3 linked regions of the Bombyx mori genome follow. The protein of the gene in region 3 interacts with the protein of the main gene of each other region in a biochemical or structural test. Links are inferred from orthologs where the notes say so. Each region holds a gene or a part of one and is shown on either strand. Other genes may lie near its edges. The genes, in order: ubiquitin-conjugating enzyme E2; serine/arginine-rich splicing factor 1A; DNA topoisomerase I, mitochondrial.

Region 1 (3,481 bases), on a different chromosome or scaffold from region 3:
ATCATCGAGTAGAGGCGTCCTAGTGTGAAGGCGGGGGCGGAATGTCACCCTCGACAGAAGGATACCTAGTCGGGAGTGGGATTCAGGCGATAAAAACACAAGGTATTTATTATAATTTGGTTATCTATGATGGTATCGATATGTGTGTCTCTGTTCCAATCAGCGAAAAACTAATTTTTTGTTCGTAAAACCTAACCTTCCTAATTCGCGGCAGTAGCACTATCACAAGCTTTTTGCAACAATGACAGCATTTTGTTTGCAGTAAATGGTGGGCTCAGTGGTGGATTTACACTAGGGGCAGTCGCGTAGTCGGGGCAAGTGCCCAGTGCGGCAATTTTTTAGGGCGGCAAAATTTTGGAAGTAAAATTTTTGAAATTAATTCTATTAATTAATCATTTTCTGTTTAATTGATAATACAAAAAATTGAATTCATCCATTATTTGTGAATTATAATTTTGGCACTTTAGGTAAAAATTCATAATCAAAATTATTTAGTCAATTTATTTCCTTGAACATTTAAAATAATAATCGATTTTTCCATTTTCTGGACTTAAAGAAATTTAATTTTTTTTTTCATTTAATATTTATGAGTCACCCTTAGTGCAAAATTTATAATTGTTAGAAAAAAAACAAATATTTATTTATGTTTTTGGAATATATAACATATGATAAAGTTTCTGCAAGAAATTACTTATTTAATTTTGAAAAAAATAGTTATAAACTATAATTTTTGGTAAAATTCCAGTATTGGGGCGGATTTTTTGCCCAGGAGCGGAGTCTAAATCCGGCCCTAAGTGGGTCGATATTTTTACGAGCCGCAATCTAAAATAAAGGTTTACGTGTTAATATAGCAACAGATAAAATATTAAAATAGGTAAAAATAAATTATTAAATACATTTATTTAAATCCTTACCTTTAATTTGCGCCCAAATAGATTCTATGGCATTGCATTGACAATAGTAGGGTGGAAGGCGCATTACATTGTGTCCGGCTTCCTTAGCCATTTCGTCCAATACCTATTTTGGTCTTACAATTTTCGTTAACACGGAGTCATTCCTAAGTCGCAAAAGTAATTTTAATTGTGGTATCTTCATTTGCAAAAAAAGATAAAAGAGAGATTAATTGCATTTTAAAAACAGCTCATAAATATTTGTGTAATTTTTTTGAAACATTTAATTAGACTGAATTTCGGCTATCGTCGTAATTAAGACCCGTTTTTACTGCTAAAATTAAATTAATATTAAATGTCAACAGCAACACTATTAACTTCCTACAGCAGAAAAGAAAAAAAAGTGAATCGATTATTTTCATTTTTTATCTGTAGTCTATACTACAATTTTGTCGACCGCTCTGAAATTAAGGGACGCTATTTCGCGCTTTTTCATTTATTTTTATTGTAATTTCGTTCTAGTTTTAGCTCGATTATAAGTAAAATCTATCGCCCAACATTAAGAATAGCCCTTGATTGAAGCTCGGCTCATAAATCGAGTTATTTTTGTAGAAAATGTCAGGGATAGCAAGTGCACGTTTAGCTGAAGAACGGAAAGCTTGGCGTAAGGACCATCCCTTTGTAAGTTTTTGTTTGTTGAAAACACATTGATTTATGTTTTCGTAAATAAATAAGCTATTCATCTATTTCAGGGTTTTGTCGCGAGGCCTATGAAGAATCCAGATGGTTCATTGAATTTAATGACTTGGGAATGTGCGATACCTGGTAAAAAGGGGGTTAGTATTTCTATATCGTGAAAACTTCTTGTTTCTTATTGATGCAGTTTTAAAGTTATTGAGTTTAAGCATAGTAAATTACGGTAGTAGAAGTTCTAAAACTATAACCGGTTTTTCTTTTTAGACTCCATGGGAAGGTGGGCTGTATAAACTACGTATGATCTTCAAAGATGATTATCCATCAAGTCCTCCAAAATGCAAATTTGAACCACCACTGTTCCACCCCAATGTGTATCCATCAGGTACGGTGTGCTTGTCACTGCTTGATGAAGAAAAAGATTGGCGTCCAGCAATCACAATAAAGCAAATTTTGTTGGGTATTCAAGATCTTCTCAATGAGCCTAACGTAAAAGATCCAGCGCAAGCTGAAGCCTACACAATTTATTGGTAAGTTAAACATAAACATTTTCAATACCCGTATTGCATTTAAAGAACTGTTATGTTTTATAATGTTTAATTTTGTAAAAATTGAATTTTTTTGTAATATATGTATTTGTTATATTACTGAAAATATATCACGAAACTATCCACATATTGTGATACTAATATTTAATTACTGTGACCTACAAAACTTGTATGCCTCAATATTAAATAAAATTTTATTGTTACAGTCAAAATCGGCTAGAGTATGACAAGCGAGTAAGAGCGCAGGCACGTGCAATGGCTGCTGCTGAGTAAATATCAGAATGGGACAATGGAGCGTTAATGAGCTAAGCCATTGCCTAAAAAGCAGTATAAATGTGAAGACAGGAGATTAAAACAGCAACACTACGCTATTTTGGAGATTGTGCTATAACATTATCTTCATGGTATTTTCCAGTTCCAAAAGTATTTAATCCACACAGTACGCAGTGATGGTTTAAACTATAGATTTAAGTAATTTTGAAGTAAATGCAAGTTTTTAATAACAGACCAAATCAACACTATGCTAATGTTAGTTATTTTAATTCTGGAAAATTTTGAAGCCATTATGAATTCATCATTTTATGGCTAACTTGTATTTATTTATTTGTTAAGTTAATAACAGAAATGTTAACAAGCAAAAAGCATCAAAGATTTTAATTACAACCGAATATACAAACATGTTGCTGTAATTCTCAAAATATACGGTTACATTTCGAATCTATGTTATTTTAAAATATTTTTGTATCTTATGTTAGACTTAATGAACAATAAATATTTAAATTCTACAATTTACTGTGTATTTTTAAGTTAAAATTTTTTCAGATTATTTTCACAATCATTCACTATTCAAAGTCAGCGCTTTCTAATCAGCCGTTCAGAGTAACTATTTGGAAAACAAATAATTCATAACTTTATTTATTTATCAAAATGGTTAGTTGACATCAGATATTTCATTTCACATGCTGATATTCATTAAAGTTGGGAGTTAAACAAATATTTGTTTTATTCCAGCTTAAACGCAATCATTATTTAGTTTGATGACAGATATAATTAAAAATTAGCTACAAAAACCTCCATCTAGTAGTGAATAGGCACCTCAAAATACAAAAGGTGAGAGACAGGCGAACTATACGATCACGACCCAACTAGTTTTAAGTAATAACTGAAACTATTTAATATGGTATTTTCTATTATTAGAACCCATTGAACTTGCCAAATAATGCCAGGACTAACTTAGAGATATGAGTTCGAAGACTTGATTTTGTTATACGAGTTTAAGGGACGCCCACCCCATAGATTATACACTTAATAACCCATTTTCAAATCAACAACCAATTAGTCCTTTTCCGC
Region 2 (4,234 bases), on a different chromosome or scaffold from region 3:
AGTACTAAGTTATCCAACACAATTGTTAATGTCCAAAGGTGGGCTGAGATAACAAAATCGATATATATAAAAATGAATTGCTGTTTGTTAGTCTCGCTAAAACTCGAGAACGGTTGGACCGATTTGGCTAATTTTGGTCTTGAATTATTTGTGGAAGTCCAGACGTTTAAAAGGTAAAATAAAATTTTGTTTTTCCTTTGATGTGTCCCCCGTTGGACGGATTCCTTTTGTTTGTTTTAAGTTTATTTTATACAATAGTTAGGTCTTTTATTTATCGATTGAGGCACTACGAAGTCTGCCGGGTCAGCTAGTTTAATCAATATATTTGGCCAATTAAATGATATAGTAGTCAGTTAATGTAGTAATGGTATGTAGTGGTACCTGTCACCGCCGCCGCCACCACCGCCACCGCCGCCACCGCCATAGTCTTCCTTCACACGTATATATGTCACCTCACCCTGGAAATGAATATTTAATAGACGTCTAAATCTTGCACTACATGACACTGCTTGCTTTTTAAATTTCTTGAGTTGATTGTAAAACGCTTTTACAGTGTAATATAGCTTTCTTTTCATTCATTTTATAATCTTCATCATCTATGACCATAAGGTCTGTAATATCAAGATTAAGAAAGTATGGTTCAAATTTGATCCATGGTTCAAATTTCTTTTGTAATATCAATATGAAAGCAAACTCAGTTTACTTAAGCTGAGATGATGTTTTGTTGCCTCACATCTCATTTTACATTCCATTTGTTCTTTTCAATCTCATATCAGTTTTTCTCAAACTGAAATTACTTTACCATAATTGACAAGTGAATTGTTTTTTAAAAAAAATATTTAACTGTATGTTGAAAGGACAATCTCATTTTTTATAATTCAGTAAACAAATTGGTAACAAGTATGGGCAGAAAAAAACATTGAAAAAAAAAAAAAAAAAAACTGGTATTGCAAATAATCAGAAAAAGGAGACAGCTTAGTCCAACCTAGCTAAAGAATTCAAAAGTTTGTTTTGCTTACTTTATTTACTTGAGTTTTACAGAATGCAATTTTGGACATTATAGATATCTACTGAGTTTGACACAAAATAACAGTTGTTGATTTTGAGCAGCTATTTGTAAATGAACAGTTTAAGCACTATCCCATGGTTTAATTTCTCCTTCATGAGCCTTAAACTTCTAACTAATTCAAATTAAACTATAAAAGTATTTGACACAATTGATTATCTTGAAACTTTTATGTCCACGTTGGGTAACAATGATAAAAAATTTGGGACAATCCACCAACAGTACTGTTCTTTCACATTACAGGTTATGTTTATAATTATTTTCAAATAAAGTGGAAGAAACTAACCTCATGACTCCTAAATCTAGAATCATCTAACTTTTTAACAGCATACTTCATATCTTCATGCCTCAAAAATTCCACAACACCAGATCCATCTTTAAAGGTGTCTGCAAAGCATACGTCGCCGGCCTCTCGCATATGGTCTTTGAGGTCCTGCCAGGAACCCGAGGGCGGTAAGCCGGTAACGAGCACGCGGTATTCAGAGCGTCGAGCGGGCGGACCACGTGCTGCCCCTCGTCCACCCCAACGGTCACCACCGCCTCGAGAACCACGAGAGCCTCCACCTCCACCTCCACGAGGGAACTCGACTCGAAGACGGTACCCATCATAGTCGTAACCATCCCTGGCTCTTACTGCATCATCTGCATCTCTGAATTCCAAAATAGATTTTATTAAAATAACTTGTCTCAGATTAATTTAGGTAGATATGACTGTATATTCTACTAGGAGTGAAACAAGGCAGGCTCTGAGCTGTGCACCTGGTATTCTTGACGTTCATTAGTGACAGTAACAACTCACCATGAAGTGGACATATCTAATAAAAGAACCAATCACACACAGTTTTGACATCACTCATTGTGTAATTTTAATTTAATATGTTGTGTGTTTATATGTGTGTTATAATTTTATATAATTGGCAATAATCAGCAAATTTTATTGATTTTAATTTTTCTGAAATAATTAGAAATCATAGGTGAATATTATTAGATTTATGGATACAGGTGCTCTGGCAGACTATTAAATCTGTGCCACCCTTCATATATTTTAATATGTGCCAACTTTTAAACTAATTAGTTGTCAATTAATCATAAAATAATAAATGATTAATTGTTAATTTAAAGTCCCATTTTCATTTATCAGTAAAAATGTTTACTTAATCTGTATCTGTATCTGTGGTGTGGAAAATTATATTAACGCTGAATAAAATTGTTCATTTCGCTATAGTCGGGTACAGATAGCGGTGTATGCGGCATAACGTATGCGCTCTTTTAAATCTTCTTCAAAGGCAGCTGAACATTCCGTCCACCTGACACGGGATGATTATCGCTACTCAGACATGGACAACGTTAGTAATATAGATAGCCCGTTTCTCTTTTCGAATTCAACACTCACCTGGGATCCTCAAATTCCACGAACGCGAATGGCGGACCTTTTCTGTTCTTTAGGTCAACGAACGTTACTTTTCCGAACTTGTAAAACAAGTCTTGAATATCCTTTGTCCTTATGTCCGGTGGTAAGTTTCCAACATATATACGACACTCATTTCTGTTGCTACTGCTTCCACCCGACATTATAGCTAAAGAATATTACTATTGCTTAAACGTTTACTTATTATTATGTTGGCTTCATCGACTAATTTCACCAATCCGACGCTTTACTGTGTGTAATTGAAAGTCGGGCAATATGGCGTCAAATGTCAATGTTCCGATTTTGGATCACGGTGGATTTGACAGAAAAGAAAACGATAATCATGAAAACGGAAGTGGAAAAACCTGGTCATAGATTATAAATATGTGGCTGTATAATTTTTACAAAAGTCCGTGTGAAAGGATTTATACAAAGATGTGTATGTAGTCGTCCGGCACATTTTAAAACTAAACACCATAAAATTGAATAATTAATCTGAAATGTAGTTTGCTTTTGGTGATATCAGGATCAGGACACTTATCATTCTTTCCTGCTTGTCCGGAAGTTTCTGTGTCGAAATCAGTACCTATAGCGTGTTTTATAGGTCTTTCTAATTTCGAGCCCGCTGCCCTTCACTTTTGTTAAATGGAAATTAATATATAGGCTGATCAATATTGGCAGTTTCGAGTTATGTTAGTAACATTAAAGTATGGGTTTTCCCATATAAAATCAGGTAGGAACTTACTAGAGAACTTGTACTTGAACTTGTGCTTAAGGTGTCATCTTCTTGAATGGATTAAATAAAATAAAATAAAATAAATAATACAATAAGGCTATGCGTCATGATAATCGCCTTATTGGTGCCACCGTTGATTACTCCTCGAATTCTAATCATGCAGGAGCCAGTCACCGTTGATGCCCTAGACACGTCCTTACGGATCCATCAGATCCAATAACCTTTGCATTAGAAGCCTTCAGCTCTAACACTAGTAGCAGGCTCAGGGACCCCGGTAACCGTACTCATAGAACTCGACAAAGAGTTCGACGTGCAACCTAATCTATGTATCAGCCCGCTGAGTTTCTCGTCGGATCAGCTGTCAAAGCAGCTACTCTTGAGTTGATAAGTCTCCTTCGGAGGCGCTCGGGCAGCTGTTAAGTAATCCCACCCCTCCTGGCTGCGCTTTTGCTCACCTAACTGTCCTGGTGAAATTAGTGTAGGGGAAGCTTAACGACCGAGGGAAGATCTTCCATCGAGCTGGTGATATTGCTCGGTAGACCGACGGTCCGAATGCTGTTGTTCGGAACTTGTATATATGCGCTTTAACTTGAAAATGTCGTAAGCGAGATTCAGACATCTGTCAATTATCTTGCGTTGTATGATGGCTACCCGCCACATCACTCCCCTCCGAGACTGGAGGTCGTGTCATTTTTAGTTAGCGTTGTCCATGCTGAGATTAGCTTGCAAGGGCCAGTGCTGCTCGAAGCCTGCGGTGAGTCGAGGCTGAGCTTGAATTGCTGCGTGATTGTCGCTAGTGCTGCTCGTAGTCTGCGGTGAGTCGAGACTGAGCTTGAATGCTGCGTGATGAGGCAGTGTAGGTGCGTGCCGTAGGAGCAGGAAGCGCGGTGAGTCAGCTGCGATGGTCCTATCGAGGCTGCGATGCTGGCTTGCTGTGGGACTACTGTCGATGACTTGCTTTTATCTGCGAGAATTGTGGTAGCCGAAGTTCTTGATGCGCTGATGATGAAGTGTGAAGGCTGCA
Region 3 (4,342 bases):
CTCGCCGGATCTTCTTAGCGGATCACGATTCCAATCCAGTAGCAGATTCAATCGCGGAGCAGCTACTCATGAGTTTTTAGGTCTCCTTTGGAGACGTTCAGGTAGCTGTTAGCAAATCCCAACCCTTCTGGCTTACTCGCCCACTTGTCGTGGTGAAACTGAAAAGGCTTCAAGGCCACCAGTAATCCTTCCTGCACAAAAATAATTAATGAGAATTGCCCCTATGTTTTTGCATTACATTGCATGATTACATTGCTCCATATAGGTAAACTGCACAAGCTAGTCTGTACAGTAAGCACCAATAGATTCAATTTTATTATAAGTCTAATTACCACAAAAAAAAATAGTAAAAAAAGTCAAACAGACAATGTTAAGAATAAAATGATAATAGAAATTAAATCGTAAAAGTAGTTTAATGATATCTACGACTCAAGAAAGCGCTACACGATAACCCTCTTATCGTGACCGCCGCTAGTTAGATATACAAAATATGTATATCCGACCCAAGCGATAGGACAACGCAAAGTCATCGTAGCCCGAAACGTGTCTTGTCGGATCCCCGGATCCACTCTCGGTGCTTTTAGGTCCCTCAAGCACCGGTTACTGTCGTTACGACGAAGAGTTCGACGAGCGAACTAACCCATAGAAACAGTCCACTGAGTTTCTTGCCGGATCTTCTCATTGGGTCGCGATTCTGATCGAGTGGTAGATTCTGCAAAGCACTGCACTTGGTAGGGCTAGTGTTGACAAATTCTCCCGAACACAGCTAGGCTACTCTTGGCAGAGTAGTCGTAGCTGTCGTAGCGGTGGCTTTCGTAGTGCTGGTGATGACGACAATGCAGCCCGTGGGGGTAGACATCGAGGTATTCTGCCTTCTACAAGGCCATTTACGAAAAGTATCTCCACGGTGTCCTCCTTTCTGGAGATGTGCCCAAAGAACTTGAGAATTCGTAGCTGAGCAGTCGACGAGTCTTTTTTTGTATACAAAGTTCTTTGCGAACAACGAACAAGAAGAGAAAACTTGCGATAGCCGAAGAAAATACTAGTGTCGAGAAGCTGATAGTTTACATAAAATCAAGATTGTTAATAAATAATTAATAATAATAATAATAATAGCCTTTTTATTCCTAAACATAGGGTTACAAGAGGTCCCTAAGTTCGGTGTGCCTTTTGGCATAGGCCTCCTCCAATTCCTTCCAATCCAATAAATAATTATCGACAATCTTATATCTTATATTTATTGACAATCTTGGTTTGTGAAGTTTACAGAAATCTTCTATAAAGTTATGAATTGGTTTAAAGTTACGATAGCATGCATGCAGATCTTCAATTATTGACATTTAAGCATGTACAAATAGACGTAGTAATTTTAAAGTGAGCATTACCCACGGTACCGTAATTATAGTTTCTCTACATACGCAGAACCTACTATACTATTATTACACATATTCTGCGTCTGGAAGTTACACGAATTTCGTATAATGACTAAGTATCCAAGTATAAATACTTTAGATTGAATCTTAGATGAAGGCTTAGATGGCATACATTCCATTGCCATTTCAGTTTTTTAAAAAGCTGAACTGTCAACTTGAAGTTCGTACAAACCAGAACATTGAACCAAGCGGAGTGAAGTTCCCTTTTATCGTATGAGCAACGACGCATGCGCATTCGTCACTTCTGGACACTTAGATTTTGCGCTCGTTTTCGGCCGGCCTCATGTAATCTTATTCGAACAAACGTTGTGATACGTAGGCAAAATGAGTGTCGAAAACCCGGCCAGCGATAATGATTGTGAATCTGTAAGTTATTATTTAGACTTGTTATTATGATATTAATCGTTCTACGTATTCAATAAGCTTCTATTGCTTAAGGTTTCGTGTCCTTACTGATGAAAATTACAACACGAAGCAAAATTTTCTAAGTCCCAATATGGCGTCAACTATAATGTTCAAGCAGAAAGAACGTAGCGTCGTTTGACACGCCAAGAATAAATGTGAAAAAAAAACACAAACTGCCACATAGCGTCTTTTCTAAAATATGAACAAATATACATTTGGGGTTAATGTTATGTTAAAAATTAAGAGAAATTTCGATCTCTTTCACAGGGAAAGGTAAATGGAAATAAAAATGAACACGTGAACGGCATGCATAACGGCTACAGTAGCTCTGACAAACACAAATCAAGCCACAAATCTTCTAGCAAAGACAAGCATCGCGACAAAGATCGCGATCACAAGGGCTCGTCCAAGCACAGCAGCTCTAGCAGGTAAGCATTCTAGAATATTCTGTATGAAATTAACGTTTTCACTATGAAATATTGTAAGTTTTATAAGTATTGTATTTAAAGAGACAAGGACAAAGACAAACACTCAAGCAGTAAAGAGCACAGCAGCTCCCATAAATCTTCCAGCAAAGATAAAGAACACAACAGTGAAAAGAGAGACAGAAGTGATAAAGATCACAGTAGCAGAGATAAAGAACGTAGTGACAAAGATAAACACCGCAGTGACAAGGACAAACATAGAGAAAAATCAAAAAGTGACAAAGATAGGCGTGATGAAAAAGACAAGAATAAAAGCAGTTCAGATAGCAAAAAGACATCATCATCATCATCATCCAGAGATAAAGAACACAAAAGCTCATCAAAGGATAAAGATCATAAATCTAAAAGTAAAGATGAAAAAGATAAAGATCGACACAGGAGTGACAAGGATAAACACCATAGGGACAAAGATAAGCACTCCAGTTCAAAAGATAAAAACAGGTATATATAGACAAGTATTTTTAATTAGAATTTAAAACTGACAGTATCCAGTCATATATATTTGACACCATCAATAGTTGTCAAAAGTCAGTAACATTTGGTTAAAAATTTTTGTAATGAATGCACCTGCATCTTAAACTACAAATTGAATGTATTTTGCAATTTTGGTTTCAGCTCCAGCAAGAACAAGGAGAAAAGTTCAAGTGAAAGAAATGAAAAGATAAAATCTGAGTCTCAGAATGTCATAAAAGATGAACCTATGGAGGTGTGTATGTGGGCTATTATTTTCTTATTGCATTCCAACATTGTCTGAAAAGCATAAATATAAAATCATTCTCCAAATATGCACTAAACCCTATAGTACTGCCATTCTCATAATGAGTTTTTTTGGTAGTTGTCTATTTATTTGGATGCCATTGTCCATGAGGGCCAAAATAATAATTTAGTTTTTTATTGTTAAGGTGGATCAACCAGTCTTAAAACGTGAACAAGATGATAGTGATGAAGGATATGCTGGAGCTAACACAACTGTCTCATCTTGTGACTACTCTATGTCCCAATTTAAAGATGAGCCACTTTCTGAACTGCCTCCAGATGATGAAAGTGAAGAGGATATACCACTAGTAAGTTGAATTCAAGAATAATCCATTTATACTTAATAACTACCAACTTAATACCCAAATTTATTATAATATTAATTTTTTTACTCATCCTTGTCCTTATTTCCTATTTTTATCATACAGTAACAGTTCTTATTTTTACTAAATATATAGTTATCTAATAAAATGAATATATTATTTTATAGACTGCACGAAAAGCTAAAAAACGCCATGTTAGTGATGGTGAAGAAGACATTCCATTACTACAAAGAAAGAAATCTAAGAAAAAAGTAAAAAAAGGTAAAAGTCTTAACATTATTCTAGAAATTAATTATAAACAGCTTTTTGAACCTTTTGGAAATGTTTACAGAAGAGACTTATGAAGATTATGATGATTATGAAGAAGATGAAAAACCTAAAAAGAAAAAGAAGAGTTCTGAAAAAACTAAATCAGTTAAGGTGAAATCTGAGCCCATAGATGATGGTATCAGTCCCAATAAACGGAAGAAAAAACAAGACACAGAAACAGAACAAGTCTGGAAATGGTAATTAAAGGCTATTTTTTGCTCATTAAAATATTGTAAACGATTATTTATAGTCTGACATTGCCAAATTATCCAATGTTTTGTCTACTTTTAAAACCAATAATATCACAAGGCAAACTTTAATTTGTTGTGACTTCAGATTGCTCAGTAGAACTTTTTTAACATTAAATATTTAATCTTAAACTCTGTGAAGTAACTGCTTTAGTGACACTTCATATCTAATTTCTACCAATAGATGGCGTGACATATCCAACCTAATTCAAGCATTGTCAGAAATAATTTGTCACATAACATCTTGATAGCATTTGACGTTGATAGAGGCTACCCCTCAAACATTTTAAATAATTCGAAACATAAGTGATCAAATTAAGCTGGATAAAATTCGTCAAATCATTTTTAGTTCGATATGTAATTGTGAATGTTCTTTTTTGAGG

Evidence for each region.
Region 1: the proteins of DNA topoisomerase I, mitochondrial (region 3) and ubiquitin-conjugating enzyme E2 form a complex in vitro, tested with the Homo sapiens proteins (2 studies listed by BioGRID, with this or other methods). The link is inferred for Bombyx mori from reciprocal best matches to the Homo sapiens genes TOP1 and UBE2I.
Region 2: the proteins of DNA topoisomerase I, mitochondrial (region 3) and serine/arginine-rich splicing factor 1A form a complex in vitro, tested with the Homo sapiens proteins (2 studies listed by BioGRID, with this or other methods). The link is inferred for Bombyx mori from reciprocal best matches to the Homo sapiens genes TOP1 and SRSF1.

The regions. Positions count from the first base shown.
Region 1 is NC_085114.1:7,031,673-7,035,153, forward strand, and holds ubiquitin-conjugating enzyme E2, read left to right. Parts: upstream 1-1,338; 5' UTR 1,339-1,505; coding exon 1,506-1,571; intron 1,572-1,642; coding exon 1,643-1,726; intron 1,727-1,850; coding exon 1,851-2,113; intron 2,114-2,337; coding exon 2,338-2,404; 3' UTR 2,405-2,915; downstream 2,916-3,481. UniProt on the Homo sapiens protein: Accepts the ubiquitin-like proteins SUMO1, SUMO2, SUMO3, SUMO4 and SUMO1P1/SUMO5 from the UBLE1A-UBLE1B E1 complex and catalyzes their covalent attachment to other proteins with the help of an E3 ligase such as RANBP2, CBX4 and ZNF451.
Region 2 is NC_085122.1:429,844-434,077, forward strand, and holds the start of serine/arginine-rich splicing factor 1A, read right to left. Parts: upstream 2,858-4,234; 5' UTR 2,639-2,857; coding exon 2,460-2,638; intron 1,717-2,459; coding exon 1,353-1,716; intron 459-1,352; coding exon 382-458; intron 1-381. UniProt on the Homo sapiens protein: Plays a role in preventing exon skipping, ensuring the accuracy of splicing and regulating alternative splicing.
Region 3 is NC_085110.1:12,999,242-13,003,583, reverse strand, and holds the start of DNA topoisomerase I, mitochondrial, read left to right. Parts: upstream 1-1,517; 5' UTR 1,518-1,757; coding exon 1,758-1,799; intron 1,800-2,105; coding exon 2,106-2,266; intron 2,267-2,347; coding exon 2,348-2,764; intron 2,765-2,938; coding exon 2,939-3,029; intron 3,030-3,225; coding exon 3,226-3,387; intron 3,388-3,569; coding exon 3,570-3,663; intron 3,664-3,733; coding exon 3,734-3,908; intron 3,909-4,079; exon of another isoform or gene 4,080-4,326; coding exon of another isoform or gene 4,327-4,342. UniProt on the Homo sapiens protein: Releases the supercoiling and torsional tension of DNA introduced during the DNA replication and transcription by transiently cleaving and rejoining one strand of the DNA duplex.